3 linked regions of the Diceros bicornis minor genome follow. The protein of the gene in region 1 purifies or fractionates together with the protein of each later gene. This does not show direct contact. Links are inferred from orthologs where the notes say so. Each region holds a gene or a part of one and is shown in the gene's direction. Other genes may lie near its edges. The genes, in order: PPP2R1A, CEP350 and PPME1.

Region 1 (10,007 bases):
TCTTTTATGGATGCCTTTTTGGTAACAGAGCACAGCAAGAAGTCCTCTACATATTGTAAAGGGGTCAATATCCTGGGGAAATGGAGGGTACTGAAATCTTGGTGGAGTGAGTAATTTGGAGAAATAAGAAAGTCTCAGTGAACCCCTGACACTTGCTTGTCCAGGTACATTGTTGATTGTTCCAAGTAACGGTAAATAGATACTGGCTGTTGGGGTCTAGAGGCATGCTGTACAAATGTCTACAACAGTGAACCATTTTGAGTTTGGTGGAACTTGTGACAACAGGGTGTTCAGGTTTGGATCAAATGGGAAACAGGGAGTAACTATCTTGTTAATAGTTCTCAAGCCCTGGACAAATCACCATCCCCTCCCATTTGTACAGTAGGGATATGTAATAAAGTTCAGAGAGAATTTCTATCTCAACCAGTATGAATGACTCTGTGACCTTTTATTGAAAAGCTTCCTTTTTTGCTATGTGATACAGCCCCAGTCAATCCATTAGGCAGGGATCTCCTTTCTAAATTAAAGTGCTAATATGTTACGTTAGACCAGGGGCTGGTATAGGGAATGATCAGCCCCTGGGTGAGTAGGTCTTCTACTGTGGAAGTGAGGCCTTGTGTGGCCTCAGGATTTAATGGATTTTGAGGCAATTTAAGAAGTTTAGTCATCTATCTGGATCTGTATAGGCTCTACACCTTTTATTCTCCCAATGACAGTATTAAATGTTGCCCAGAGATTTGGGGGCACCTTAAAATCTGAGAACTTTTGTTGGAATTCTTCTTCTTCTATGTCAAGGGCAGATTATAAAGAGCATACAGGATCAGGTTCAGGTTGGTCAGGAAACTCTAAGGTGAAGTCTCCATTGGAAGCAAACATATTAGCCCTTTTAATGGACTTCTAAATTCCAAAATTTAATTTAGCCCTTCTAAATTCTTAAACAAAAAATTTGGGGGATTTTCCCTGGGTTTAGGGAATTTTTTAACTATGGCCCTTAGTTTGGTCTTTGAACGATGGGTGAAAGATATCTGAAAAGATTCGTCTGAAACCTCAGGTAGTTTTATTTTAAAAGGTAATTATTTAAGTCTTTTCAGAGTGGAAAGGCGGTTCAGACAGAGAATCAGTAACCATGAGTGCTCAGGTGAAGGACGAGGGGAACAGTAGGAGTCACGTCAGTGCTCTAGTCTTTTGTTTTAGGTGCCCTTTGTGTCTTTACTTTTCCCTTAGCCTTTTGTAATGAGTCATTTAATGAAGCTATTTTGGAATCTTGCAGCCTTTTGGAAGCTTCTGCATACCAATTAAAATAGGTATTCCATTTTGTTTAATTTAGGAACTCTTGCTTTCCAGTGAACTTCTTAAATAAACAATCTTGTCTAATTGAAACGTTTCCCATAATGACCATTGTAACTCTAGGTTGTTTTTAGTAAGATTTTGCCATTTGGCTAGATATCTACAGTCCAGGACTGTAATTCTTAGACATGAAATAAGCAGGTGTGTTGGAAGGTGGCACACTTGACTCTTTGGAGCTTAAAGATCCCATTTCTTTTTAGTTAAGCCTTTGGGTTTCTTGGAGCCAAACTAATACCTAAGAGGGATGTGCCTGGGTGTTGGGAATTGTGTGTAGTTTTACATTGTGCTTTGTTGCATGGAAATTTTCTTGAGGTTGGTGGGTGACCTAGTGTCAATTTAACCCATTTCATAACCAACTTATCCTAACATGGGAGTATTCTTGAGGTATACAGTGCCCTAACAGCCTTTATTTTTTTTTCATTTTATTGATTTATTCATTTTTTTTGAGGAAGATCAGCCCTGAGCTAACATCCATGCCAATCCTCCTCTTTTTGCTGAGGAAGCCTGGCGCTAAGCTAACATCTATTGCCAATCCTCCTCCTTTTTTTTCCCTTTTTCTCCCCAAAGCCCCAGTAGATAGCTGTATGTCGTAGTTGCACATCCTGCTAGCTGCTGTATGTAGGACGCCGCCTCAGCACGGCCGGACAAGCGGTGCGTGGGTGCGCGCCCGAGATCCGAACCAGGGCCGCCAGTAGTGGAGTGCGCGCACTTAACCGCTAAGCCACGAGGCCAGCCCCCTTAACAGCCTTTAAATGCTTGTTACCAAACCAAGTTCATTTTTCCCACCACACCATTATGCTAATCACCCAGATGATGAGTTTGCAAAGAGAAAGGGTTTAACAAGGCAGCCAAGCAAGGAGATGGGAGAACCAATCTCAAATCCACCTCTGAAAAATGGGATTAGGGATATTTATGAGATAAAGGGGCAGAGTGGTCTGAAGTGGGAATAGATGATTGGAGGTAAGGAGAAGTGAGGCAATTGATGATCTGTGTTTGATCTGCAATCAAACTTCATGACTCTTCATAGGATGCATGTTCACAAAATGGCAGCATCACCATGATCTGAGGGTGGAGTTTTCAGCTCCTTGACATCAAAGCGTCACCTATGGGTCATCCATGCAGGCCCAGTTGATGTGTCGGTGGTCTTAACCAGCCTGAACTGGATGAGGAGTTGACTGTCAGTTCCTGAAAAACTCAAGCACATGTTACCATGGTGACCCAGGCATCAGAGATGTTGTCTATAGTGTGGGTTTTAGTAATTCATTATCTAACTACTTTTGCAACCAGACAACTAACTGAGTATAGTTAAAGCAAGCTGGTCCCCAGTTTCATGCTCGACCCATGCCCAGCAATGTTTGTGGATTTGTTTTTGTTTTTGTTTTTTTTACTTCTGATTCCCATTAGCCACTAGCTTTTACTTAAAACAAAATTGTATTCACCTGATGCCTCAGGCTGGACCCAGTCCAGCTTAAATTGGACCCAGCCTAACTCCAGACTTAGTTGGATAACCACCAGCAGTTCCCCATGTGGAATGGGGGGGGCTAGTGGGAGAGAATTTGGGGAGGGAGTCCAATCAAATGGGGAAAGCCAATTAGATCAGGAGCTCAATGCAAAGAGAGCAGAGCTCAGAACTGAGAGGAACTTACCCACTCCCTCAAAATTGGTAAGAAAGACACAGAACTCAACAGACTTCATGGGTACCACACCTGTGTCTCTCGTCCCCAAAGCTGTCAGAAGTCTCCTTCAGTCCTGCCACTGCCACTAAATCTGTTAAATAACAAAAATTCAACTGAGTAAATTTAAAGATTAAATTGGCTTTGTGAATTAGGCAGCACACTACCTAGCAAGTAGAGAGGAGCTCCAAAGGGCTACAGAAAAGGAAAGGTTTTTAAAGGCAGAGAGGGGGTGGAAAAAGGGAAATTATTAGCAAAGAATGCATGGTTTCAGGCAAGGTCACCATTTTGAAGGGAATGGAAGGGGACTTTCAGGTAGATTACCGCACTTGTGCTGACCAGGTAATTCCAGGTTGACTGGTCAAAGGTTACATTCCAACAGAGGTTTAAACTGCAATTAGGTTGGGTATTAAGTCTTGGTTTGCTGATGTGGGATTTAGCACAAGTGACTCCACTTTGGGTCTGCTATCTCCTTTTTACAAGCATGATATTTCAATTTTGGAATGAGTCAATATGGACTTCACTATTAACAAGTAGGAAGGGTCCCAAAAGTCCTGTGTCTCATGGAAAGTGTATATTCAAGAATGAAGGCAGACTGGCCTCAGTGACATCTCAGCTTTACAAGAATAAGTGGTACTTATCCCTTTGGAGGAAATTTTAAGTTCTACACTGTAGCCAAAGCCACGCACTAGGAACCCTCGACCTCAAGATTCCCCCAAATGATTCACTGATGGTTTAGGTAAGCTAAATCCTAATGGTGTCCCCTGGGCCAGTGTGGCTGTTTAGCCTTAGTGCCAGCTCTGCAGAACCAAAATTAGATGTGATTGTTCTGTTCATTGGTCAGATCTGAGACACCTGGACTGCTGCCAGTGGTCTAGCTGTTTAGTGTGCCACTTGGAAAACTATGGACTGCCAGAATAAGGACACCCCTCTTTTGGGCTGTGAACTGTGGAAACAAATGGCAGTGCTGGAATAATTGTCTGGGTGATTCATTTAGATGTCTATGGTAAAGGCCTGTTGTTTGAAAAGACTGACAAGAATCAAGTTGCTGATTATGTAGTTGCTGTCTGATGCAGAGGCTACCTCTGCATGGCACACTTGTGACTTTTTATTTTGCCCCAGCTTGATTGAGGTGTAATTGACAAAGAAAATTTCAAGATGTTTAAAGTGCACCCTTAGCTAACTAGACCCATAGTCTCAGTGAGCTGGTGAGGTAGGGAAGGATCCTGGGAATATGGACAGCAAGGATTGAACTATGAAACACCACCACCCCTTACTTTTTATGGGAGTAGTTTCCTAATTGGAGTGGGTAGAAGTCTTTGGAAAAGATGCTTGGGCTATTCAGACCTGTCCAGGAGTCCTCGCTCAGCCTTGCCCTTCAAGGGGCACAATAATGGGTGAAGAAGCACCCCAGGCTTTCCCATCACCGCGCCCAAACTCCCTCATTTAGGGTGGTCCTAAGATTGCGGGTAGGGGGGCTGTGATGAGTGAGGCTAGGAGCAGACACTAATCAGTACCAATCCTGTCCCATTCTGTGGGAGGAGACAGACATCAACACAAGAGTCACAGCCTCAGCCTCGGGGATGGGAATTTTGAGAGAGAAACAGGTTATGTGGCTCCTTTTTTTTTTTTTTTTTTTTTTTTTTTTTTTTGTGAGGCTCTAGGGGCTTGAGGGCCAAGCCTGAAGAAAGGCAGGGAAGGGGAGACATTTATCTAGAGATGAGACAATTGAATAGAAACTGCTCTCCAAGTAGAAGGTATGTTTTGGGCAAAGGCTTGTTGGCATCACGACGAACTCAGGGGGCTAATTTTCCAGGACTGCTGACGTGTAAAAAGGAGAGATGGGAGATGTATCTAGATAGAGTTTAGGAATCAGATCCACAAAGGCCTTGAATACTAGTCCGAGGGACTTGGGTTTAATCCAGATAATAAAGCAACTCGCCAGCCTTCTCTGGACCTCGGCATAAGGCATAAATCAAAGCCTCACTCCCTCCTGCCCCTCCCGCACAAAGGCGCCGGGCGTCCGCCTGCCAGCTAAAACCTTCAGACGGTCCGGGTCACCTCCTGATGCCATGCAGTCCTACCGACGCATGCGCAGAAACTTTCTCCAGGAGTCGCAGACGGGCAGGCTTCGCCTCCTCCCAATCCTGCCCCTCATTGGCTAGAAACAACAGCTCGTCTTGGCCGTTGCTAGCGACAACGTAGGCGGCTACGATCTTGGTCGCTAAGATACCGCGTACTTCCGTTTCCTTCTCCCCCACTCCTTGGCTCCGGCAAGCCTTCTCGTCCCTTCCACCAATGGCAAATGGGCAGTGGGCGGGACTTGATTTGTCCGGACCAAAGAAAAGCGGGCTTCTCTGGCGCAGCGCTGCCAATGACCGTGGGGCCGCCCCTGTAAAGTGGCTCGGGCGCCCCCACGCCCGCCTTTCCTCCTCCCAGCTCTGCCCCTCCCTATCCGGATTTCAGCACGGCGGTAGCCGCAGTCTGACAGGAACGGACGGAGCCAAGATGGCGGCGGCCGACGGCGATGACTCGCTCTACCCCATCGCAGTGCTCATAGACGAGCTCCGCAACGAGGATGTCCAGGTCCGGAGGCCACGGGGGGCTTGAGGAAGACGGGAAGGGGGACATGGAGGCACGGGGGCTCTCGCGGAGAAGGCTCAGCGTTCTCTGGGCGTGGCGGGGAGAGAGCGCAGCCAATCAGCGTGCAGCTCTCATCTCTCCGGGTCCCAGGACTCGATGCAACAGCGCCCGGGATTGGGTGTTGGCCCAGCGGAGGGCGGGAGCGAGGCGAGTCTGGAGGGTCCCGGGCCTGCCGAGTGCACGCGGCGGCCCCGGGCCTGGGAGGCCGCGGCCAGGGAGGGGGTTTGCCTGGTTGGTCGGGGACAGGGAAGGGCTCGGTGATTGGCGGCGGTCCCTGAATGGCCCCTTGGGGATGGAGAGGGAGCGTGACTTGCTCCGAATGGGGGAGGGGTCGCCTGCTTGGTCTGGACCCGGGTAGATTTTCGCCTTTCTGGGTTTTGGCGGCTGGGCCTTAGCGCTGTGGGGTAAACTCCCTAAATGGGGGAACTGAGAGATGGAGGCTGCCTTTCCAATTCCTTCCCTCCCTCCAATTTTGGTGTATATCCCCGAAGGAGCGGGGGGCGGCTCGCCAAATTTAGGAGTCAATTACGAGGTAGAAACCCGCTCCCCTTTTGGGATCGTCCCATTGACTGGGAGGTGGGCACTTTGCTAAATGGGCTAACACATTTCTGGTGAGCCGAATAGGGTGGCTCAGGGCCCTGAGCCTGGCTGGCGAGGATTTGAGAAAAGTGAGGACTCCACGGTTTGCCCATCCCATCTGCACCTCCCACCCCCGCCGTGTGACCTTATGCAAGTTACTTCATCGCTCTGGCCCTCTGTTTTCCATAAAATGTGGGCTAATCATAGTCCTAACCTCATTGGGTGGTTGTGAGAGACTGAACGAGTTAATAATACATGCAGGTAAAATAGAACGGTGTCTAGCCTGTTGTGAGGACCCAGTAAAGGTTAGCTATAATTATTGAGTGTTGGTTGAAGAGGTCTCATCCTCTCTTTGGGCCTCAATTTCCTTATTGATAAAATTGAGTGGGTTACTCTGGGCCCAGCCTCTGAGGTTCCGGGTATATCACTTTGGTTCTGTAGTCAGACAGGCTGCTGTTGTACTTCTGGCTCTTCCACTCCTTGCTGATTGACATGGGCAAGTTAATCTCTCTAAGCTTTGGTTTTCTCTTTTCTCAAATGGAGGTCATTATCTAGTTCATAAGGGCTGTTGTAGGAATTCATTTGTTCAGTAAACACCTGCCACATATCAGGTATGGTGCTGAGGATGTAGTGGTGACACCAGTTGTTATACAAGAGACGTGTGGAACAGAGCTGAATACATTAATAACACATGTGAGATGTGGTGGGAAGAAAACCATAGCATGTTGTGACAGTGAATCAGTAAATATTTATTGGGCCTCTGCTCTGCGTAGGGCACTGTTGTAGACACAGGTATATAAGAAGATTGACAAAAGCTCCTGGCCTCGTGGAGTGTACGTTGTAGTGAGGGGAAACAGACAGTAAGTAAAATGTATGCTATGTTGCGGATAAGGGCTAAGGAGGAAAATGAAAAGTGGTGGGGGATGCAGTTTTAAAGAGGAGTTAAGGAAGGCCTTGCTGCAAAGGTGATGTTTGAACCAAGACCCGAAGGAGGCAAGGGAAGGAGCCATGAGGCTCTCTGGGTGGAGTACACAGCAAGCACAAAGTGGGGTGAGGAAGATCTGTTTTAAGTAGGGTAGTTAAGGAAGGCTTCTCGAGGAGGCAGAGTTCAAGATGAGACCAGAAGAAGGATCCAGCCTTGGGAAGAAGGTGGGGGAGAGTCTTCCAGGTAGAGAGAGCAGGCAGGTAGTGGCAGTAGTTCTCAACCAGGGTGATTTTACCCACCGCGGGACATTTGGTAATGTCTGGAGACATTTTTGGTTGTCACAACTGGGGAAGTACTCTATCTGGTGGATAGAAGTCAGGGATGCTGCTAAACCTCCTATACAGGACATGGGGTACAGGACAGCCCCACAGCAAAGAAATATCTGCCCAAAATGTCCATAGAAGTGGGATTGGGAGAAACCATCGTATGGGATGGGAAACTCTCGAGGCAAATTTAGTGGCTTAAAAGAACAGCAATTTATTGTCTTACAGCTCTGGAGGTCATAAGTCTGACCTGGGTCACACTGGGCTAAAATCACGGTGTCAGTAGGGTTGCGTTCTTTCTCCAGGCTCCAGGGGAGAATCCATTTCCTTGCCTTTTCCAGCTTCTAGAGGCCACCCATATTTCTTGGCTTGTGGCCCATTCCTCCATCCTTAAAGCCAGCATTGTTGCATCTCTGTGACTGTTCTTGTGGAGTCACATCTCCCTTTGACTAGCCAGGAAAGGGTCTCTAATTTTGAGACATGAGATTGAGTCCGACTGGGTAACTCAGGATAATCTCCCCATCTCAAGGTCCTTACCTTGGTCACATTTGCCAAGTCTCTTTTGCTTGTAAGGTATCATACTCAAGTTCTAGGGATTAGGGTGTGGACATCTTTGGAAGGCCATTATTCTGCTTACCACAGTCCTTGTGGCTGGAAGGTAGAGATCGAGGGAGAAAGTGGTAGGAGTTTGAGTGATATGGTGGTGGTGAAGTGCCCTTTTAAAAAAATTTCTTTTACATCTTCAATTGGTTTAATGTTTCTTTTTGTTTATTCTTTTGTTACTTTTATTGCATTGAAGTCTGAAGGGAAACTCCTCATTCAACAAATATTTAAGGAGTGCCAGGTGTGTGCTGGGGATTGATGTGGGTAGTGGGGCAACAGCAGTGAACAAAACAGGCAAGAATCTGCCCTGATGGAGCTCCCTTTGTTGTGGAGGCAGACAAGGAACAAACAAGTACAATGTAGAGGAGGATAGACAGTGCTAAGTGCTATGGAGAAAAATAAAGCAGGGATGGGGGAGGACAGGAGAGGGTTAGAATTTTAGATAGAATGGGTAGGGAGGGCCTTATTGAGAAAGTGACATTTGAACAGAGATTTGAAGGGAGGGAGCAGGCCTGGTGGATATCTGGGGAATAGCATTCCGCAAGTGCAGACGTCCTGAGGCAAGACTATGCAAAGTGTGTTCTGGCAATGGCAGGAAGGCCAGTGTGCCTGGAGCCAAGGGACTGAGCTGTTGATGTTGGGAGATGAAGATGAAAAGGGATGTGTCTTAGAAGCACCTTGTGAGCTATCACTTAAACCAGGGATTGACAAACAGCCACCCAGGACCCTGTGCCTGTTCATATTTTTTTAAATAAAGTTTTATTGAAAACACATACACCCATTTGTTTATGTATTATCTATGGCTGCTTTTGTGCTGCAGCAGCAGGGTAGAGTTGAGTAGTTGCAACAGAGATGATATGGCCCCTTAAAGCCTCAAATGTTAATTACTTGAGCCTTTACAGGAAATAGATTACCAACCCTTGACTTAAGCCATCTCTGTATCAAATCCCATCCACCCCCACAAGTAACCAGTATTATCAGATCAGTGTGAATCTTGCTAGACATGGGCTGTCCTAGCCCCTTGCCACATGTGGCTATTGAACACTTGACATGTGGCTAGTTTGAATTGAGATGTGCTTATACATAAAATACACACCAGATTTCAAAGACATACTACTACTGAGGGTAAAACATCTCAGTAAAACTTTTTATATTGATTACATGTTGAAATGATAATATTTTTGATATATTGGGTTAAAAAATATAGTAAGATTATTTTCACTTGCTTATTTTATTAATTTTACTAGACAATGTAAACTTACATGCAGGTCTTGCATTTACACTCTGCATTATATTTCTATTGGAGTGTGCTGACTCTGGGTCATACTCTATTCATATATAGAGAAAGAAAGAAAAAGTGGGCATTTTTTTCCCAACAGTAAGTACTTTATTTTGCAACTTGCTCTTTTCACTTAATATTTCTTCCAGATCTTTCCATACAGGTACATACACATCGGCATGTATAAGGAGTTTGAACATTTTCCCAAGAATCAGAGACATAGAGACTCAGAGATTGCATCTTTGTCCATGTCTGTGGGCTTTTTGAGGACAGGGCTTGGACCTGATTCATCCCTAAGGATTCAGTAGCCAGTACAGGCCTGAGCACAGAGACCAGGGAATACAGGAGCTCAGAAGGGGTTGAATAAATAATATTAACAGCTGATATTTATTGGGTACTTGCTCTGTGCTAGGTGCTATAAAAAGGCAGTGCATTTATGAGCTTACTGAGTTCTCACAACCACCCTTTGCTTACCTATATTTTCCAGATGAGGAAACTGAAGCCCAGTGAAGGTAAATAACTTGGCCACATTCATGCCAGGTGGGGAGTGGAGGAGCCAGGAAAGATTCCCAAAGGAAGTCTGAGATCAGAGAGCGGAAGAGAATTTGGAATGGGGCAGACACTGACTAGATTTG
Region 2 (10,007 bases), on another chromosome or scaffold:
GACTGATAAATCTCCCTCCTACTCCCAGTCATCAGTTTCCTTCTACATACACAGCCAGTATTAGCAGTCTCTTCTGCATCCCTGTAGAGATATTTTATATATATATGTACAAGCAAATATTATATATCACCCCACCTTTTCGTAACTCAAATAGTAGAATACTATTTCCATGGGTTCCTACTTCAGGTCCCACATCTGGGCCCTGAGATTCACTAGTCTCTGACTCCCTTTTCGGAGCAAGAACACTTAACTTGGCCAGCACCATCCTCTACTCAGATCCTGAGGCTGCCGTACCTTTTCCAGGCCGGAATCTAGCCTCAGGCTACCCCGGCTTCCAGATTCTGACGCACACATTGAGCTCTCCATGTTGTCTCCTCAAAGCCCCTCTCACTAGCTTGAGGTAAGGGAGAAGCTACCTCCGCACCCACTGCCTGTTGTTTCCAAACAAATCTTCCTCTCAAATCTTCTGAATCTACAGTCTCTCAATCCTTTCATATCAGTGACCAAGTTGAAGGATCTTATGTAAGGGGTCCAAGAGTCACATAACTGGTCTCATATTACTCCTTTGAAAATGTGGTTCTTGGAGGCCTGTCTCAGAACTTACTCCCAAAATTCCAATTTAATGTCCTGTTACAGTCCAAATACAGTTAAATGCGGGCCAGCCCTGTGGCTTAGCGGTTAAGTGCGTGCACTCTGCTACTGGTGGCCCGGGTTCGGATCCTGGGCGCGCACTGACACACTGCTTTTCCGGCCATGCTGAGGCTGCGTCCCACATACAGCAACTAGAAGGATATGCAGCTATGACATACAACTATCTACTGGGGCTTTGGGGGAAAAATAAATAAATAAAAATTAAAAAACAAAACAAAACAAATACAGTTAAATGCTGCCTTTATAAATATTTCTATTCTCCTTTTGCTCTCTGGATTTGATGTCACAGAGACTTCTCTAACCAATATTTCCTTGGCTTGTGTGCTTATGCACACACTCACACACACACAAGTATTTATATATATGAAGATAAATGACTGTCTCTATTTTTTTTTTTTTTTGGTGAGGAAGATTGGCCCTGAGCTAGCATCTGTGCCAATCTTCCTCTCTTTTGTATATGGGACGCTGCCACAGCATGGCTTGATCAGCGGTATATAGGTCCGCACCTGGGATCCAAACCTGCTGCCAAAGCGGAGCGTGCGAACTTAACCACTATGCCACCAGGCCAGTCCCTCTGTCTCTATTTCCTTGTCAAAGAAAGTTCTTATTGATAAATTTTAATGTTTGCATAATTCTGCACATCAGAACACCAAATGCCCTAGACAAGTTCAAGACTAAGGCAAAAGATTGAATTTAGAGAAAGAAAGTAACCAGAAAACTCATCCCTAAATTTGGTGTTTGCATAGTTTGTTAGAATCGCATAGTTTGTTAGATTTGCAATCCGAATGGTTGGATTTATTATTAAAAAGGTAGTAGACAAGATTACAGATCAGATTTGGCATTTAGGCTTGCCATTTCAATAGAAAAGTCTTTACCTAATCCTGACATAATTTTATTCAAGTGACCTCAAACAGTGAATGGCATCATTACATCACCATAGCTGTATCTCTCCATTTCCCAATTTGTTATGTCTGGAAATCAATGCCAAATTTCACATTTTCAGGAGAGAGAACATGTAGCTTTTCACCCAAAATTTATTAAATCCAACAAACACTCAATTGAATTCAACAAATCTTGAATGCCTAGTTGATGCAAGGCACCTACTCAGTTTATAAAATAGTAGTGAAAATAACCAACATTTTTGAGCACCTACTATGTACTAAGTACTGTGCTGTTTCCTTTACATGTGTTGTTTCTTTTAATCCTCACAAAACTCTATGGAGTAGGTACTATTGTAATCTCCACTGTACAGATGTGGAAACTGAGGCACAAAGAGGTTAAGTAGCTTGACCAAAGTTACTTGATTGGATCCAGGCCTTTTTGATTCCAGAGTGCATGCTTTTAATCCACCATGAAGGAGACAAAGGGCTTTACTGTCTAACGTGACAAGGATGTGCAGGATAAAGGCAGAACTATGGATAGTAGATATGGCCCTAAGGGAGGTACACAGCATTGCAGAACTCAGGGGTGGAAGAGGATCTGCAAAGTATGGGCAGTCATGGAATTCTTCCTGGAGTAGGTAGCTTTTGAGCTTGTACTTAAAGGATGTGGCTGAAATTGTGAACCAAGGTGACCTGTGTTTCAGGTTAGAGACAAAGGTGTAGAGGTAGGGATGAGCAGGCTGTTTCTGAGATCCAGTTTGGCCCAAACATACATCCAATTAGGGAAGTAATAATAGCCACTGCTTATTTCTATCTTTTATGTATCACGCTCTTGACAGATGTTATTTCTACTTTTTAAGACAACTCTACAGAGTAGATATCATTAGCCTTGATTTATAGACAATAAAATGAAGGCTTTTGAGGTGTCACAGGGCAACTAAGTGACAGGCAAGATTTGAACTGGAGTCTTCCTGACACCACATTCCTGCCCTTTCTACTTTTTCATGCTGTCTTACTTTAGGGAGATAGAAAGCTAGGCTGGTGCCATATCGAGAAAGGCCTTGATGACTGAGGTGAGGAATTCTTACTTACCTTGGCAGGCAGACGAGGGCAGGGGCAAAATTCAAGCTGAACTCTGGGAAGACAACTGCAATCTTTTGGGCAGTAGAAAGGAGAGCCTGAATTAGAAGAGCAGAGGTGCAACTGGACAAAAGGGGAGTAGATAAAAGAAATATGTAACAATGGAATTTAGAGACTTAATAACTGATTGGGTAGGAATAAGGCATAGAGAAAAGTATATAATATTTCTAAACTTTTGAGCCTCTCTGTTCTCCGAAGGGAGTTCTGCAATGGCCATTAACAGAACAACAGGGCAGGAGGAGGAACTGGCTTTGTGGGATTGAGGAGGGAGAAAATGATATACTTAATTTGGGAGCTGGAGGTGGTGGTAACTTCTACATCTACGTGGAGATGAGTAACAGACAATTGGAGATTTAGTCAAGTCTGGGGCCAAGATCCAGTTATACAAAGAAGGTTGACAGTCAAAGTCATCGTAATCAGTGAAGACTATAAAGTGCAGAAAAATCCAATCTTAGTGTCTACTAAGAAGTAGGAGAAAAAATAGAGCCCACCTATTATGTGCCTAGTACTGTGGAAACTACTGGGAAGGGTGACAAACCTTTTCTCATTAAGCTTCCAATATTGTTCCAGAGACTAATTACTCTCATGAAACTACGAGAAAATAGTACAAAACTTAATATACTCAGAAGCCATTATGTAGAGTATAAACAGTAAGAGTTATGGGATGTTGAAAAGAAGAGAGGTTGATGTGTTAGAGGTATTCGGGAGGTAAGAGAGAGGGCAGGGATTAGCACAAAGTATGGAGGTGGAAACTGTGCATAGGCTGATGTGAGGGTAACATTGCTCCCCGCGTGGTGACAGGAATTTTTGATGTTTTCTTTGTTGCCCAGGAGATAGCCTGGAGGTAGAAAAGTATCAATAGGCTTTGGAGTAAGGGAGATTTCAAATCTTATATCTGCCTTTTACTGATGCTATAATATTGGGCAAATTACTTAGTTTTTCCAAACCCATTTCCTCTTTTTAAAAAAGTGAGCATAATACTTAATAAGATGGTTGTATAAATTCAGTAAAGTAACATATGAAAAGCATCTATCCCACTCCTTTTCACCGAAAGAGTGGGGAAAACCTAAATAACTCTTTCCTATGTTGTTTTTCTTGCTACCACTTGCACCGTTGGGATACCCACATTACCTGTTCTTCCCTCCAGCACAGCTTCCTGGAGACACAGTACACATCTAACATACGTGCGGGATTTTTGTACATCCACTTATTTCCTATTCAGGCACAGCTATAGGCCCTACAAAGAGGGTGCAGTAACTGCCTCCTGCTTTTATTGATACGATCTACTCAACAAGCATTTATTGAGCACCTACAATGTCCTAGTTACCGTCCTAGGTCCTGTTGGGGTATAGAGAGATACTCAAGATACGTAGCCTCAAGATACTTAAAAATAAGAAACAGTCTCTGGCTAAATAGCTATTGGAGTTCAGAAGGTGGAGGAGTGTAATGGGTAGAGACCTTGTGTGCAATGAACACCGAGAGGAAGGTGGCATGATTTGCGGAAGAGATGTCATTTAAGCTGTCTTGACAGATGACAGAATTTACCATGCAGAGACCGGGGAGAGGAAAAAGGTATTAGAAGATATGTTGGTCGCAGAGTTTCTCAAAGCACAGTTATATCAATGCCAATACCTAACTGGAGGAAACTCCGTTTTGCTTGCTTTGGCATCTTAAGCCACTAGACAGAGTGCATGCTGAACAGAATTGCAACCCTTGCGAATAACACGGCCACAGTGACAGCAGTGGGTAACTGCAGCAGCCGCAGAGCTGCAATTACTCTAAAGCTCACTGGGGTAAAGATTCATTTGGACGACAATTGGTGAATTGTCGTAAACTCTGAGAAGCTGCAATTTCCAGACGTCGAGTTCATCTTTGTCAAACCCCCAGCTTGTTTTTTCGGCTAGGAGGTGAAATGCGCAGCCAGATGGCCCAATTAGCGTCAGCGGAAAGAGGGCGGGGTTGGGGGGAGGTCTCCGCTGCGGATCTACTCTGGCCCCTCCCGAGATCTGCAAGGCTCAAACTTCGCCACACTAAACATGGCGCCCTCGAGGTTCCTCTCCTCGTTTCACCTCGCCTTCACCTTTGGCCACACTCAACATGGCCCTAACCAAGGGTTGCATTCTTGTGGAACCGTCTGGGCATAGTTCTCGCGATGTTTGCCCGGGCCCCTACTGCTCCCGCCCTGCCTCGCGCCGCCGCCGCCGCTGCCGCCGGCGCCGCTCCTCCTCCGTGTCAGTTGTTGGGCTGTAATGGCGACTGGGCCGCTGCTGCTGAAGTGACTCCCGGGCGGGGGGAGAGGGGCCAGACCTGCGCCAGAGGGAACTGCAGAGAGCCGCAGCTCAGGGGGTAGCTTGTTGTGGGGGAGGGGAGGCAGCCTTTCCGTCTCTCCTTCCTTCTCTGCAGACCCGCGGATTTCGGGAGCCGGTGCGAGGCGGGCACCCGGTGCGTCCCCGGAGCGGGGAGGCCAGGCCCGGCAGCCCTGGGGCAGGTTGGGGCGGCGTCACTGTACCCTCCGCCAGGCCCTGCGGGATGCACCGTGGGAGCCGAGGGCGGAGGCGACACTCTCAGGTGAGTTGCGGGAGGACCTGGCTGGGACCGTGGACGCTCTCTTAGCCTCCGCAGCCTCTGTCCGCGGTCCCGGGTCCCCAGTGGTGGCGAGAGAGGTGGGGCGGGGCGCGGGGAGCCCTGGCCCAGCCTGGCTTCGCCCTCGGGGAACCTTACTGGGTCCTGAGGCTTTGCGGGGAGGGCCATCCTGCGACTTCGGTTTCAGGTCCCACCGGTGCCTGCCGAAGACGAGATTTCCTTCCTTACCTGCCGGTCCTCCCCCGCTTCCCCCGCCCCTCCTCTCGTCTGCAAAAGATTTGAGATGCCTCTCTCCTTTGGTCTCCAGAGAAGTGTCCCTTCTTCATTGGAGATCAGGCATATTTGGGGAAATTCCGGGCAACTGGCTCCAGTGGCAAGGATGACTAGTTTCTGTTCCTTTTTGGTGGGGATAAACATTCCTAAACGTAGGGAAAACTTTGATCTTGTGTTCCAGTCTAGCAGCTGCTGAATGTAGTCTACTGATTTATTCACAAATGATGTAGGGGGAGATTTAAAAAGCCTTACGCTTTGAAAGTTTACGTAGCATTTTTCCCCGCCCTCTTTTTAAATATAGCCCAACGTGCTAAATAATATTTAGCTAATGTCACAACATGGTTTGGAATTTGGCTGGTTTTTTAGTTTTCGGATAGGAAGTCGCACATATAGATTTTAATGTGGTTTTAGTGTAGTAGCAAATCCTTCATATAGGAAAAAACAGGTGGCCAGGAATAGTGATCAGTATCCATGTACTCCACCTGATTGTTTTGTTTTGCTGGTGATCCTTGTTTTGAATTTGGAAAAGTCGTTAATGGTTATGTTGCCATGTTAACACGATACCTCCTCCTGTATTTTAAGGGTTTTAAAGAAAAGGCTATCTTAGGCAGACCTAGTAACAACTTGAGAAGGTTTGTAGAGGCAGTGATAAAATACTGAAAGCTGCTCTCCATTTAAAAAATTTCTTAGTTTAAAATATTGTTTTTAAATAAGGCAGTGTGCTGCTAATAAAATGAGATTGTGACTTTGGGGAATTGGTTGTTAGACCTATGGTAGAAGTTTCTTCAAACCCATGGGAGTGTAATAATTAGTTTTGGTGTGCTAAATTGACAAACGCCATGCAGAGTAATAAAATATATCTGAACCCTGGAACGGTCATTGCGTTGGATTTAAGATACTTTAATCAGAAAATAAACATAACCTGGAATACATTGTATGTGTGGATAAATACATGTGTATCTCATCTTCATAGTCAGTAGCAGTACTTCCTGTTTGTAGTGATGGTGAGTTATAATATGTAAACAATTTCGTACATATGTGAAAAGATTTTTCCGAGATTTGTTGGTGTGTAGTGTTATGGAGGAGCGTTAATACTTCAGCAGCCAACCTCCTGTGGGGTAATCAATTTATGAATTATGGAGTTTTGAGTTTTCTTCTGTTGCTTCGGATTGCCAGTCTTTTGCCCATTTTATAACGCTTCTACCATATCATGGACAGAAAAAAGAGATGTAGCCCCTGTCTAACCAATTTTATTTGTTAAATTGGTATAAGTTATAGTGAGAGCAAAAAAGCTGCTGTCTAAAATAACTGACGTCATTTTTTGGTGTGCTTCCACATACATTATTTTATTTAGTCTACATAGCAATTTTGTGAGTAGGTTTGGCAAATATCTTACTTTGCAGTTGTGGAAATTGACACACAAGTAAGTTCGTTTATTTTTGTGAATGCTGCTGTTATTTCTGCAGATGATTGAGAATTAGTTTTATTTTCAATTATTTTTTTATTGAGATATGATTGATATATAACGTTATATTAGTTTCAGGTGTGCCACATAATGATTCCCTATTTGTATATATTGGGAAATGATCACCACAATAAGTCTAGTTAACATCCTAGAATTAGTTTTATTTTAAATTGAATATTAATGTAGATACTTCTGACATTTGGTTTTTTAAAATCTAAAAAAAATTCTATTCTTGTTCTTTTTGACATGCCACTTGCTCCTTATGCTGATGATTGTCACTTCTTTAAAAGCATTAGTACTTTCATAGCATTTTGTTAATTATTAACAAGTCATGAATTATTATAATGGATTGCATTAGTTCTGTATGTACTTTTTGCTTGAATAATGTTCCTAAGAAATTGTAGTTAATTTGTCATCACTCATTTTGTTTGGATACTTACTTCTGTCATCTTTGGTATTTCAAATCATTTATACTCTTGGTTATGTAAAGCAGATATTCAAGCCACATAGTAGCATAACTGAGTAGTAACAACTTGGTGATTTTATTGTAGAGACAACTGATGATTTAAAAAGTTAAATCACCATCTACACTTCTGATTGCTGTTTCTGCAGTGTGGGACCGGTTGTTAGATAATTTTCTTTTTTCCCCATGTCAGACAATTTCTAGTGTCATAAATAGTCCAAAAACCCTGAGTAAACAAAAGATTGCATAGTTTTTTCCTGCACTAATACTTTTTGTTTATTGTTACCACAAGTATAACTCTACATTTACTAGTGCTTATTTGGGGTTATTATTTGCCTTTCTTATCTAGTCTGTAAGTTTCATGATGGCAGAAATCCTCTATTGATTACCGTGCACCCAATGCCTAGCACATAATAAACTTCCACCAATGTATATTCAACCAATAAATTCAAAAAATTCAATAAATATTGGTTGAATAAATTGACTAAAGTGTGGTCTCGGTATAATATTTAAAAAACAAAACAAAACACTAGTTCATAGTTCCTAGGCACATCTCAACTCTTCCTCTTTTTTTTTTTTTGTGAGGAAGATCAGCCCTGAGCTAACATCCCTGCCAATCCTCCTCTTTTTGCTGAGGAAATTACAGTAATTACTCTTAATTACAGTATTAGGATTTTTAAATCTTAAAGGCTGACTAGTTTAATTCCCACGTTTTATACATAAACAGAGTATCATATAGGGAAATATCTTACCTATAGTTGGTTTCATAACTGGGTGAAGAATCCACTGTCAGCTGCTAAGTTTACATTTGTTTAAAGTGTCAGATAATTATCAGATCAGAGGATAATTGTGAACAACCTGGCCATCTGTTCTACATCAGTGTTAATTAAAAACTGAAAAACAGGGCCGCCCCGTGGCTTAGTGGTTAAGTGAGCGCGCTCCACTGCTGGCGACCCGGGTTCGGATCCCGGGCTCGCACCGACGCGCTGCTTCTCCGGCCATGCTGAGGCCGCGTCCCACATACAGCACCTAGAAGGATGTGCAGCTATGACACACAACTATCTACTGGGGCTTTGGGGGAAAAATAAATAAATAAAATCTTTAAAAAAAAAAAAAAACTGAAAATAGGACTGTCTTTTCATGAGTCAAAAATATTTGTTAACAATGAATCTCAACCCTCTGTTCTGTCATTGGGACTATAAGTTGGTACAACTGGAACAATGTTCTCGAAGGACATGTGGCATTATCTACCAAAATTAAAAGTGCACATATTCTTTGATAGAATAATTTCATTTTTAGGAGTGTTATTTTACAGAAATTTTAACACTAGAGCCCAAGAACAAATCTATAAGGATGTTCATTTTAGATTATTACAAATAAATGTGAACATTTATAAGTAACAGAGAATGTCTTAATTGTCCATTGGTAGGGGAATTGTTAAAATTATAGTATATTTATGCTGTGAGATATTATGCACTTGTTAACAGGTTGAGGGATTTCTATATTTACTTCATGAGAAGCAACTGAGCTTATCCTTGAGTGCAGGGACCATGCAGCAAACTTTCTGGGTTCAAACCCTAATGGCACCATTTATTAGCTGTGACCATTTGCAAGTTACTTAAACTCATCTATAAAGTGGATATAATTATAGTTCTTATCTGACAGGGCTGTTGTGAGAATTAAATGAGTTAATATTTAAGCCCTAGGTAAGCATAGTAAGCGCCACATAAATGTTTGCAGTTACTGTTATGTACTGACATGGAAGAATGTTCATAATATGATTGAAAAAATAGGTTGTACTACACTGTGGAATATGATTCGTTTTGTACAAACACACACATAGGCAAAGAAATGTAGTTTGGTTTTGTATGTGCAAAGGAAAATGTGTAAGAATCGACATTAAACTATTAGCAGTGTTATCCCTGGGGGAGTAGATAACTTTCCTTTTTTTACTTAAGACACTTTTGTATTGTTTATTGTAAGTCCCGCTTTTATAATTTTTGAAAGCTTTTTCCTAAAAAAGAAAATATTGGAGCAGAATTTTTCTTCAATTATACAGTCATATAAATGGAGTTGTTTCTCAGAGATCTACAGATTTCATCAGCCAGATATCACATAATTGGATTCTATTTCAAAACTTTTGTTGATGAAAGGTTAAAATTAATCTATGAAAATTCCTACTAAATGTATTTATTTTTCTGCTAGCTTTGTGACCTTAAAGCTCATTTCTTAATTTACAAAGTAAATACGTAGGTTAGATCAGTGTTTCTTAAACTCAAGATTCCTGAACTGTGCCCAAAAGTACCTTGGAGCACCATAGTGAACTCACACAAGCACTGTGGGATATTTTTAAATTTTCGAGGGAAACACAGTAATATTTGACATCTGTGGGACACTGCTCAAACGATTAGTTTGAGATAGTGCACATGAGATTGTGCTACATTCCTTTCTGTGACAGTATGTCTTCAAAAAACTAGGTTTTGGAGGGTTGCTGTGATAAAAAGCAAGTACTGTGTAAAAATCAATGTGAAACAGTAAGTGAAAGTGGTAG
Region 3 (10,007 bases), on another chromosome or scaffold:
AAGTAAGACCCAGAGCAGAGACTGCAGTTATTACTTAAAGCATGGCACGCTGAGAAGTGCACGAGTTTTGGCGTCAGACAGAACTGGGTTCAAATCCTAGTTTTGCCATTTATCAACTATGTAACCTTAGAGAATATTCATTTCATCTCTCTGAACCTCAGTTTCATTATCTATAAAACAGAGAAAATACCTATCTTGCAGTCGTTAAGGATTAGAAATAATATGTATCAACTGCTAGCATATAGTATACTCTCAATAAATAGTGGCTATTATAAAACCTCTTTGACTCCTCAACAATTAACAATGCCAGGGCCGGCCCCGTGGCTTAGCGGTTAAGTGCTCGCGCTCTGCTGCTGGCGGCCCGGGGTTGAATCCCGGGTGCGCACCGAGGCACTGCTTCTCTGGCCATGCTGAGGCCGTGTCCCACATACAGCAACTAGAAGGATGTGCAACTATGACATACAACTATCTACTGGGGCTTTGGGGGAAAAATAAATTAATTAAAAAAAAAAAACAATGCCATAGATACTAGATACACGATAACACCTACTGCTAACAACATAATCACGTGCTTATTAGGCCTGCAGGTGAAATGATAAGACAAAAATATACCTGTCAGATAGGAGGTAAACTGCTTTGGACCACAGCGAATAGCATAACGTGTAGTTGTTCTCACAGCTTTTGGTTCAGTCTGCAATGTATCTCTGGGAGAAAAGAGGGTTCCATCTGATGTTTCTCCCCACCATCTCACTCGGACAAGTACACAAGTGGGAGGCTTTGCAATCTTCCAGATGACTTTACTAACAGTAAGTTTCAGAAAGCAGCGTAGCTGGCCTTCGACCAGAGGTGGTAGGCTTGTAGATGGAGAAATGTCACTCAAACCTGTGGAGGAATCCAAGAACACTAAGTCAAAATGCAGACTACATACAGAAAACATATAACCTGCTTTTTGAATGAAAACACACAAAAACATTTTAGTCTCTACAGAAAGAAGGTTTATCCTACCTATTCTAATACAGGAGAAGTAACTAGCAAACCAGACCAAAGAATAACCTATATGGTCACTGAAGCCACTCTGATAACTAATTAGTATTTATGGTTTGATTCAGGTTATTGTAAGTAAAGAACACACCAATTTAAGACATGCTAATATGAACACCTCTTTAATTGAAAGACACCATTTGAAAAATACAAATATAGGGCCGGCCCCGTGGCTTAGCGGTTAAGTGCACGTGCTCCGCTGCTGGCGGCCTGGGTTCGGATCCCAGGCGTGCACCGATGCACCGCTTCTCCGGCCATGCTGAGGCCGTGTCCCACATACAGCAACTAGAAGGATGTGCAACTACGACATACAACTATCTACTGGGGCTTTGGGGAAAAAGAAAGAAATAAATAAAATTATAAAAAAAAAAAAAGAAAAATACAAATATAATAATACAGTAGATAGGTCTCTAAAATCTCAAAAGTAGTTGAAATTTTTCTTCTAAGTACTGTTGTTTTGATTATTGCAATGTCCACGGTTATGTTATCTTTACCTAACTCTCTTACTTTAAAAACATCATTAAATATAAAACAGCAACAACTCCCTTTACTCGACTCGCAAATGATTCAGTCTATACCACACAACTCAGCATTTCAGCAACGTCCACCTTAAATTGGCTATGTCTTTTCTTTCCTGCCAACAACATACAGTCAATGGGGATAGAGACTATCCTCTTCAGATTCTACCACTATTTTCTAGCACAGTTCTCAGTTAACAATATTTATCGGCTTTTATAATATTTATTGGATTTCAAACAGATCATAAAATCTACATGAGGCAACTAATCATGACTTTCTATAAAACTTTCCATTAATGACCCTGATTGTCTTCCAATCACAGTATCTTCTAACCATGATTTAGAGGAGATTTAAGAAACCATTCCTGTTACACACACCTTTCTATGCCTCTAACTTCTCCCTTGGGGAGTGGTCATGGCACACAAGAAGAAAATAACTGGAGTCTATCAGATCAGGAATGTATATAACTAATTCTATGGATTCCTCTGCTCTTTACAGTGGTGAAAAGACCCATCATAATCTTTATGGATAACTAGTTTCAATATAAAAATTATATAAAGGTGTGTATATGAACATTACTGCATATGCATGTGGTATAGCAAGAAGGACATTCTTATGTTATTTCTATTTTGATTTTCCTCCTATCAACCAAATATTCTTGACCGGTTTGACACAGGGAGCACCAGTATTGAACACTTCCATGCTTCTGTCTCATATCCTCCCATCATTCTGGCAGGAAAGACGCTGCCTCAAAACTGCCTTAGTTATCTTTAAACAGCTTGGATAAGATTCATTCCCAGACTGTAGCTTCAGTCCTCAACCTAAGGGCCTAATGTACTATTATTATTCCTAACGCCCCTTTGCCTATAATGTAAAAAGGCAGAGTTGCCCAATGTTTTTTTTTTTTTTTTGAGGCAGCTCTGTAGAGGTTCAATTTCCAGTTTCCCGATCTGCCCTGGGTTCCTGGGGTGACTGTTCTTGCTGCAGCTAACATTTCCCTACTCCCTTGGTGAGCTTGTTTCTCCTTGAGATTTCTAACCTGATAAAAGTCCTCTTGCTACACATGCTTTCATCTCAATCCTCCAGAGATCCTCATGCCTTCACCTCCACCCCACCCTTTCTTCCTCTCTCCTCCACAACTATCTTTCCCAACTCCCGCCTATAGCCTTTCATGCTGCATGACTGTCTCAGGCTTCACTCATTCAAATAACATTTACCGAGTCCTGCTTTGTGCTAGTTCTTGGGGATTCAGTAATGTATAAAACGTGATCCTTGCCTATTAGGATTACTGACATATTTGCCTCTCCAACTAATGTTTCTTCCATTCCCATGTGGACCTCCAAAGCTATATCCTCCCCCCAACACACACACACACACATTTAACTGTTATCAAAAACACTCCTGAATCATGGGAATGTAATGTACAGCACAGTGACTATAGTTAATAACAGTGTACTGTGTATTTGAAAGCTGCTAAAAGAGCAGACCTTAAAAGTTCTCATCACAAGAAAAAAAATTTTTTTTGTAACCCCGTATGGTGATGGATGCTACCTAGAGCTACTGTCGTGACCATTTTGCAATATATAAAAATACCCAATCATTATGTTGTACACCTGAAAAGAACATAATGCTATGTCAATTATATCTCAAAAAAAAAACATTCCTAGAATTTTTTTGTGCCCTTCCTCGAGAAATGTCCTACATGTATCCTTTTAGCCCTCACCTAGCCACATTTATTCGCCCACTTTGGCCCCCACTTCAGCCCCTACCTACTTCCTTTCCATTTGCTGGAGGGCCAACTGCCCTCTCTTTTAACCTTCTCCTTCCTGGTTATTCTCTCTTCTCCGTCTTTTTTCTTTTTTTCTTAGAGGCGGGTGTGGGGGTCTCCCTCGAATTCCTTACACCCTGCTCCCCTAACTCAACCCTGTTAACCTTTCCTCAACATTTGGTCTCTCAGGTTACCTCTCTTCTTGCGGCCACGGCCGCCCCCAGGCCCTTGGCCTTTTCGTTGTTTCATGACGAGCCCGAGCTCTTCTTCACCAGCTCAACTCCTGCCCCAGCACCTAACCCGTAGCCTCCCGCCATCGTTTCCCACGGCGCCCGCGTTCCCCGGCAACCGGCGCCGCTGGGCAGCCTGGGAGGCAGGAAGAAGCGGCTCTTCCTTTAACAGTCTCTGAGAACCGGGGAAAAGGGAAGGCGCCAAGACTCTTTCCCGGCAACAGACTACAACACCCAGGATGCTTTGCTCTACTACCTCTGCGAGGTTGGACGCTGTCGCCTCCACTCGCGCAAGCGCAAAGGGATACGCCCGATGAGAACTCCATTGCCCAGGGTGCATTGTCTTCAGGAGCGTTTCTCTCTCGGGGGAGGATCGTCGCGTTCTCCGCTGGGGGTCTGAGGTGTCCTCAGACTCCGTTACCCAGCTCCCTTTGTGGAGGGCTGTTGCGCACTTCCGGTGGAAGCGCAGGGGGGGAGGGGGTGGGGCTTACGGAGCCGGTGGGCGGTGGGCGGTGCTGCCGGTAGCTGGGTGCTGTCCAAAGGCGACAGGGCGTCGCTTAGGGGAGAGAGCTGTGACCGGTTGGGCCGCACTTAGCGTGGGACGAAGCTTCGACTACTGTTTTAACTACCTGCGGCCTCCCCTTCATGTCGGCCCTCGAGAAGAGCATGCACCTCGGCCGCCTGCCCTCTCGCCCTCCTCTACCCGGCAGCGGGGGCAGTCAGAGCGGAGCCAAGATGCGAATGGGGTACGTGACTCGTACCCCTTCCCCCTGGCGGCCAGGCCCCGGCCATTGGAGAATGGTGTCTCTGGGCGTTGAGAACGGCAGGCAAGGGAGGCTGCGGCTAGGAGAGAATGTTAGGGGCGGCCTGAGACGTTTGGATGGAGTAGAAGGCAGATTTGGGGACTAGGGGAGGCGCCAAGTCAATGGAAACTGGAGGACAAATAGTATTAAGTGAGAAGGGAATGAGGCAAAGATTGAGGAAGCTGAGAGGGTAATTTAAGAGAGGTAGGAGGCACCTCCAGAAGGAGGTGTGGAGGAGGGTGGAGGAAGGGGAGCAGAGCGGTGACAAAGGTGGTGGGAATCTGCCAGGGAGGGTTGAGGGAAATGGGGAATGACTGAGAAGAGTTGAGGGGACTTAGGGGAACTACTAGGAAAAGATTTGGAAGGAGTAAGACTGAGAACTAGATATTAGAAAAGCTGAGGGAAATAGAGAACACCTGAGGCAGGGTTGGAGAAGGAAAGAGAGCTAGGAGCAGAAGGTTCTAGAGCGAGTTCCTAGAGGTGTAAGAGGCAGATTCAGGGAGTGAGGGGGTGACTAGGAGATTAGGTCTTTTAGGAGAGAAAAGCTTGGGAAACAGGCCTAAGGAAAGATGGAGAACATAGCCAAGAAGACCATTAAGGATAATAGGAATGTGCTGAAAAGTGAGGGTAGGACATAAGGGGAGTCACGAGGGAGAGGGCTGAGTAGCTTAGAGAGTGGCCATGGGCTCTGGAAATTGAGAAGTGAGTAGGAATAGGGTTTAGTGAGTGGGAGTGCTGCAGAGAGGTAACGTCTGGGAAGCTTAGAGAGGAAGATTTGGGCAGTTGACTTTTGCTGGGCAAATAGGTCTGATGGAAGCTGTGTACTGGGTTTGATAAGACTCAGGTAAGACTCAGAATTAATGAAGTATTGAGAGTAGCCACTTAAAATGTTTTGGGGGAAACTTTACTGGGAAGGGAGGGGCTGTGTTGAAGAGAGAGGCTTTTGGAATTTTAGGTTGTTGAATGGCTTGTGCCAGGTTAGGGTTTATTTAGGTGTGGGAGAGAGAGTATAATGAGTTGAAAATGGGAGAGGGATTGCTGGAAAGCACAGAGAACTGAATTGGCAGTTGGTTTTGGGTGGTATTTGTGGTATCAGACAGGATTCTGGAAACTAGTGATTGTAAAGAGAAAAGGGGTAGGAAGAATACTTAGGTATGAGGTAGTCAAGAGTGTGTGTTTGGGATTCTAGAGATAGGTTGGTAGATATTCTTGGAATAAGAACTAGAGAAGAGAAACCTTAGGTTCTGAAGAAGTAATATGTACAAAAACTGATCAAAAAAGAGATGAGGATAGGAAATGCAGTACTGTAAAAGTAGGTCTTAGGAATGAAGAGAAAGGAGAGTCCTATAAATTAAAACCATGGGGTTGAGGGGTGGTGAGAATGATTGGAAAAACCAGGGAAAAAAACTAAGAATCAAAGTGGGGACCTAACTATGATACTCAGTAGAAAAATGGGAAAACTTTGACAGAAGATAGGTTGATGGATGCACAATAGAAAGAGGTGGTAGAAGGCTGCATATAAGGTAAAATGAAGATTGTTTTGGCTTTGGAAGACAGAAAGGTAGGAGTGTTAACATGAATAAGGTGGATCTGGAAACTGATCCATAACAGATTATTTGGGAAAATTAACCTGGAGTATAAAATTAATGTAACAGTTATTGTTGATATTTATCTTAGTTGCTGCCTTTCTTAAACTAAAATTTGATCTTTAAGTATACCAGCACTCTTTTGTAAAAATATATAAACTATTAGCTTTTTAATATCTACACATGCTTTACATAAGTTTAGAACTCAGCTTCTCACTTTGTCAAAACAAGTTCTCTGAAGATGAAGAACTGAGGAAAAATGCTAAGAGAAAATAAAGGGAAAATCTTCTGATTAGAAGATTGTATACTTGTTAGTAACTTATCCTCCTTAAATAGATGCTTTGGTCTTCTTAATTTAGGTTAACTGCTTATCCTGAAAAATAAAGTTCTTTAGAAAGATGCTTCTTTATAGTATTGTGAAGAGAAGAGCATATGTTGGTGAATTTTATGTGGTCCTCAAGTGGCTTATTTTCCTTTTCTTCTTCCTTATGGAAACGTAAGCAGGCCTCATCTAATTCTAAGGTTAGTAATAATATAGACTCTGTCCCCTCTAGAATCATAAAACTAGAAGAGAGCTTTGAAATGATCTCATCTCACTACTTGACTGTATAGTTAAGGAAACTGAGACTCAGTTTACCTTGCAGAATACAGAATTCTCTAAGAGGCAGGGGACAGTATTTCCTCTTGATAACTGAGAAAACTGAAACTCAAATCTTCCTCATACTAAGACACCCTAGAAGCTTAGTGGTGGGGCCACTGAGGACTAGGACTTGGATCTCTTGCCTCTGGGACCCATTGTGTTTTTTAGATTCGTAGTTGTTATCCTGGCAATACTTACTTTAAGTTGTTTATCTTTTTCCTTTGCAAATACTATAGAGTTCAGTCTTTCTTTTTCCTCAGTCAGTCCTGATTTATGAACTCTCACTTCCACCAATTGCAAAGCATCCTTCTTTCTTTCTCCTTCTCACTTGCCTTTTTTCTTATCTTCCCATCTTTTTCCACTCCCACATCTGTGTGTTACTCAAGATGGGCCTGTTCCTTTGACAGTGTATTATATGACTTACTCTTTCAGCTATTTTTCATAATCTCTTGCCTTCAATTTCACTAAACCTTATTTAGATGTGTTTGCATATTCAGGGTGGTTTTGAGTTCATGATTTTTCTTGAGTTTCCATAATTTAGTTTTTCAAATTGAACTTAGTAGTTCCAGAGTATTGCTGGATAATGTAATAATAGCAATTACCGTTTTTTTCCTCAGTAAGTACAATGTGCCAGGTATTGTAGTAGTAGTTTTATGTATGTTATTTTATTTAATCTGCCCATAACCAGGCAAGGTAGGTATTTCCCTGAATTTATAAATAAGGAAATTCAGACTTGGAGATTCAAGATTACGCTACTAGTATGTGGCAGAACCAGGATTCAATCTAGGGTTAGTCTCTAGAATCTATTCCCTCTTCGGAACACCAACACTTTCTCTTGGGTAAGGCCTGAAATCCTGGTTTTATTGTTCCTTGATAGATGCCAGTAGACGATGCCAAAAACAGTGATTTTGAACTTTTTTATTAAAGCTTTTGGAGCTACTCTGATTTGGGATCCCCACTTGCAACTGGTATCTTAGTTCATTAGGGTTGCCATAACAAAAATGCCGTAGACTGGCTGGCTTATAAACAACAGAAATTTATTTCTCACAGTTCTGGAGGCTGGGAATTCCAAGAGCAAGGTGCCAGCAGATTCTGTATCTGGTGAGGACCACTTTCTGGTTCATAGACAACAGTCTTCTAGATGTGTCCTCACAGGGCTCTGTGGGGTCCAGTTGTTGTAACACCATTTATTAAAAAATCCTTTTCCCATTATATGAATTTCACCGCAATAAAAATAAGCCATTTTTCCCACTGATTAAAATGACATCTTTATCATATACTACATTTCCACATAGATTTGGGTCTGTTTATGAAGTTTCTTTCCTTTTCCATTGGCCTATTTGTTTATGTGCCACTACTACACTTTTAATTAGAGAGGCATTATTAATATGTTTTAGTAGATGGTAGAGGTAGCTTCCCCCTCATTCTTTTTTAAGATTTTCCTGGCTCCTCTTACTTGTTTATTCTTACGAGTAAACTTTCTAATCAACTAGACTATTACCAGAAAAAATCCTGATAGTATTTTTATTGGGATTATATTAAATATGTAAATTAGCTTAGAATAAATTAGCTTAGAATAAATATTTTTATGATAGTGAGTCTTCCTTGAAGAAATATAGTGTCTTTCAATTTGTATGTACCCTCCCCCTTTTTTTTTTTGGTGAGGAAGATTGGCCCTGAGCTAACATCTGTGCCCATCTTCCTCTATTTTGTATGTGGGACACCGCCATAGCATGGCTTGAAGACTGGTATACGTCCATGCCCAGGATCCAAATCCGTGAACCCGGGCTGCCGAAGTGGAGTGCTCTGAATTTAACCACTGTGCCACCGGAATGAATCCCTTTTGAAGGAAAAATATTTAGGATCCCAAGTATTGACCTAAGTTATATTTAATGTAATGTTACTTAAATATGTACAAAATAAAACTAGGGATAAATTCCTTATGTATAAGAGTAAATTCTATATTACTGTTATATAATTATAGAACTCAACAGATTTACTGTTTAAATACAATTAAACCTGCAAAACTCCCCAAATTCAGATTAGCAATATTACATTAATGTGAAATAATCTAATTGACTGTTAACAGCTTACCATGGTTTATACCAAAAGGATATTTATTATTAACAGAAAGTTCCAGAGTTGATTCAGTCCTTCAACTATATCATTCAGGACCAAAGGTTTTTGCATCCTTTCTTTTGCCATCCTTAGAAATGTTGACTTTTCCTTCTCTTGCTTGTCACCTTATGGTTGCAGGATGGCTGCTGCAAGTCCACTTGCATCTTACCTTGATTCTATCTTGCCAATTAAAAAGGAAGGAACGTGGAGCCAGCCCCGTGGTGTAGCAGTTAAGCGCATGCGCTCCGCTGCTGGCAGCCCGGGTTCGGATCCCGGGCGCGCACTGATGCATCGCTGGTCAGGCCATGCTGTGGCGGTGTCCTCCATAAAGTGGAGGAAGATGGGCATGGATGTTAACTCAGAGCCAGTCTTCCTCAGCAAAAAGAGGAGGATTAGCATGGATGTTAGCTCAGGGCTGATCTTCCTCACAAAAAAATAAAAAATAAAAAATAAAGAACAGGGACAAAGGCCTTTTCCTAGCTAAGCTTGTCTTTTTTTTTTTTCTCTTTTTCTCCCCAAAGACCCCAGTAGGTAGTTGTATGTCATAGTTGCACATCCTTTCTAGTTGCTGTATGTGGGATGCCGCCTCAGCATGGCTGGACAAGTGGTGCGTTGGTGTGTGCCCGGGATCCGAACCCCGGGCCGCCAGTAGCGGAGTGCGCGCATTTAACCGCTAAGCCATGGGGCTGGCCCCCTAAACTTGTCTTTTTTTTTTTTTTTTTCCCTAGAAAGGGAAACTCCCTAGCAGATTTTTCCCGTGAGTCTCATTGTCCAGAACTGGTTCACATGTCCATCCTAAGACCAATCATTGGCAGTAGGGAATGGGATTACTATGACTGGTTTAGACCAATTCTGGTTCATTTCCTTGGACTGAAGGAAAGATAACAAGAGATCTCCACCAGCTTCTAAAACAATTTGAAATTCTGTTAGGACATAGAGAATGGTGGGAAGTGGGGAAGGAACGTCTGGAGTAGAGAGTAAACAGCATCTGCTCCAAGTCCCAACATTAACAGGTAGGGGAGACTGATCTTCTGACTTCAAATTCCCTACTGATTTCATTGCAGCACAGGTATGGGAAGTGATTTCTTCCTCGCCCTTCTTTTCTCCCTCTCCCCCTTGTGCCAGGTTTGAGCCCTGTGACCTGTGCACTTCTGAGTAATGGTCCATTTTTCCATTGTTGCTAGGCTTATGCCAGCAAATCTGTTTCTTCTTAGTGTCTCCCAAATTGGATAATTGGATTTTTTTTTTTTTTTGAAGCTGATAAGCCCTCCTTGTTACATTGCTTGATATCAGATTTGAGAA

What was found.
Region 2: the proteins of PPP2R1A (region 1) and CEP350 purify together in Homo sapiens (affinity purification with mass spectrometry; 4 studies listed by BioGRID and IntAct, with this or other methods). This does not show direct contact. The link is inferred for Diceros bicornis minor from reciprocal best matches to the Homo sapiens genes PPP2R1A and CEP350.
Region 3: the proteins of PPP2R1A (region 1) and PPME1 purify together in Homo sapiens (affinity purification with mass spectrometry; 11 studies listed by BioGRID and IntAct, with this or other methods). This does not show direct contact. The link is inferred for Diceros bicornis minor from reciprocal best matches to the Homo sapiens genes PPP2R1A and PPME1.

The regions. Positions count from the first base shown.
Region 1 is NC_080773.1:28,669,567-28,679,573, forward strand, and holds the start of PPP2R1A (serine/threonine-protein phosphatase 2A 65 kDa regulatory subunit A alpha isoform), read left to right. Parts: upstream 1-5,467; 5' UTR 5,468-5,528; coding exon 5,529-5,606; intron 5,607-10,007. UniProt on the Homo sapiens protein: The PR65 subunit of protein phosphatase 2A serves as a scaffolding molecule to coordinate the assembly of the catalytic subunit and a variable regulatory B subunit.
Region 2 is NC_080743.1:87,105,921-87,115,927, reverse strand, and holds the start of CEP350 (centrosome-associated protein 350), read left to right. Parts: upstream 1-5,157; 5' UTR 5,158-5,240; intron 5,241-10,007. UniProt on the Homo sapiens protein: Plays an essential role in centriole growth by stabilizing a procentriolar seed composed of at least, SASS6 and CPAP. Required for anchoring microtubules to the centrosomes and for the integrity of the microtubule network.
Region 3 is NC_080746.1:56,782,061-56,792,067, reverse strand, and holds the start of PPME1 (protein phosphatase methylesterase 1), read left to right. Parts: upstream 1-4,094; 5' UTR 4,095-4,203; coding exon 4,204-4,304; intron 4,305-10,007. Other genes in the region: C2CD3 (C2 domain-containing protein 3), read right to left, coding at 613-882, 3,815-3,884. UniProt on the Homo sapiens protein: Demethylates proteins that have been reversibly carboxymethylated. Demethylates PPP2CB (in vitro) and PPP2CA. Binding to PPP2CA displaces the manganese ion and inactivates the enzyme.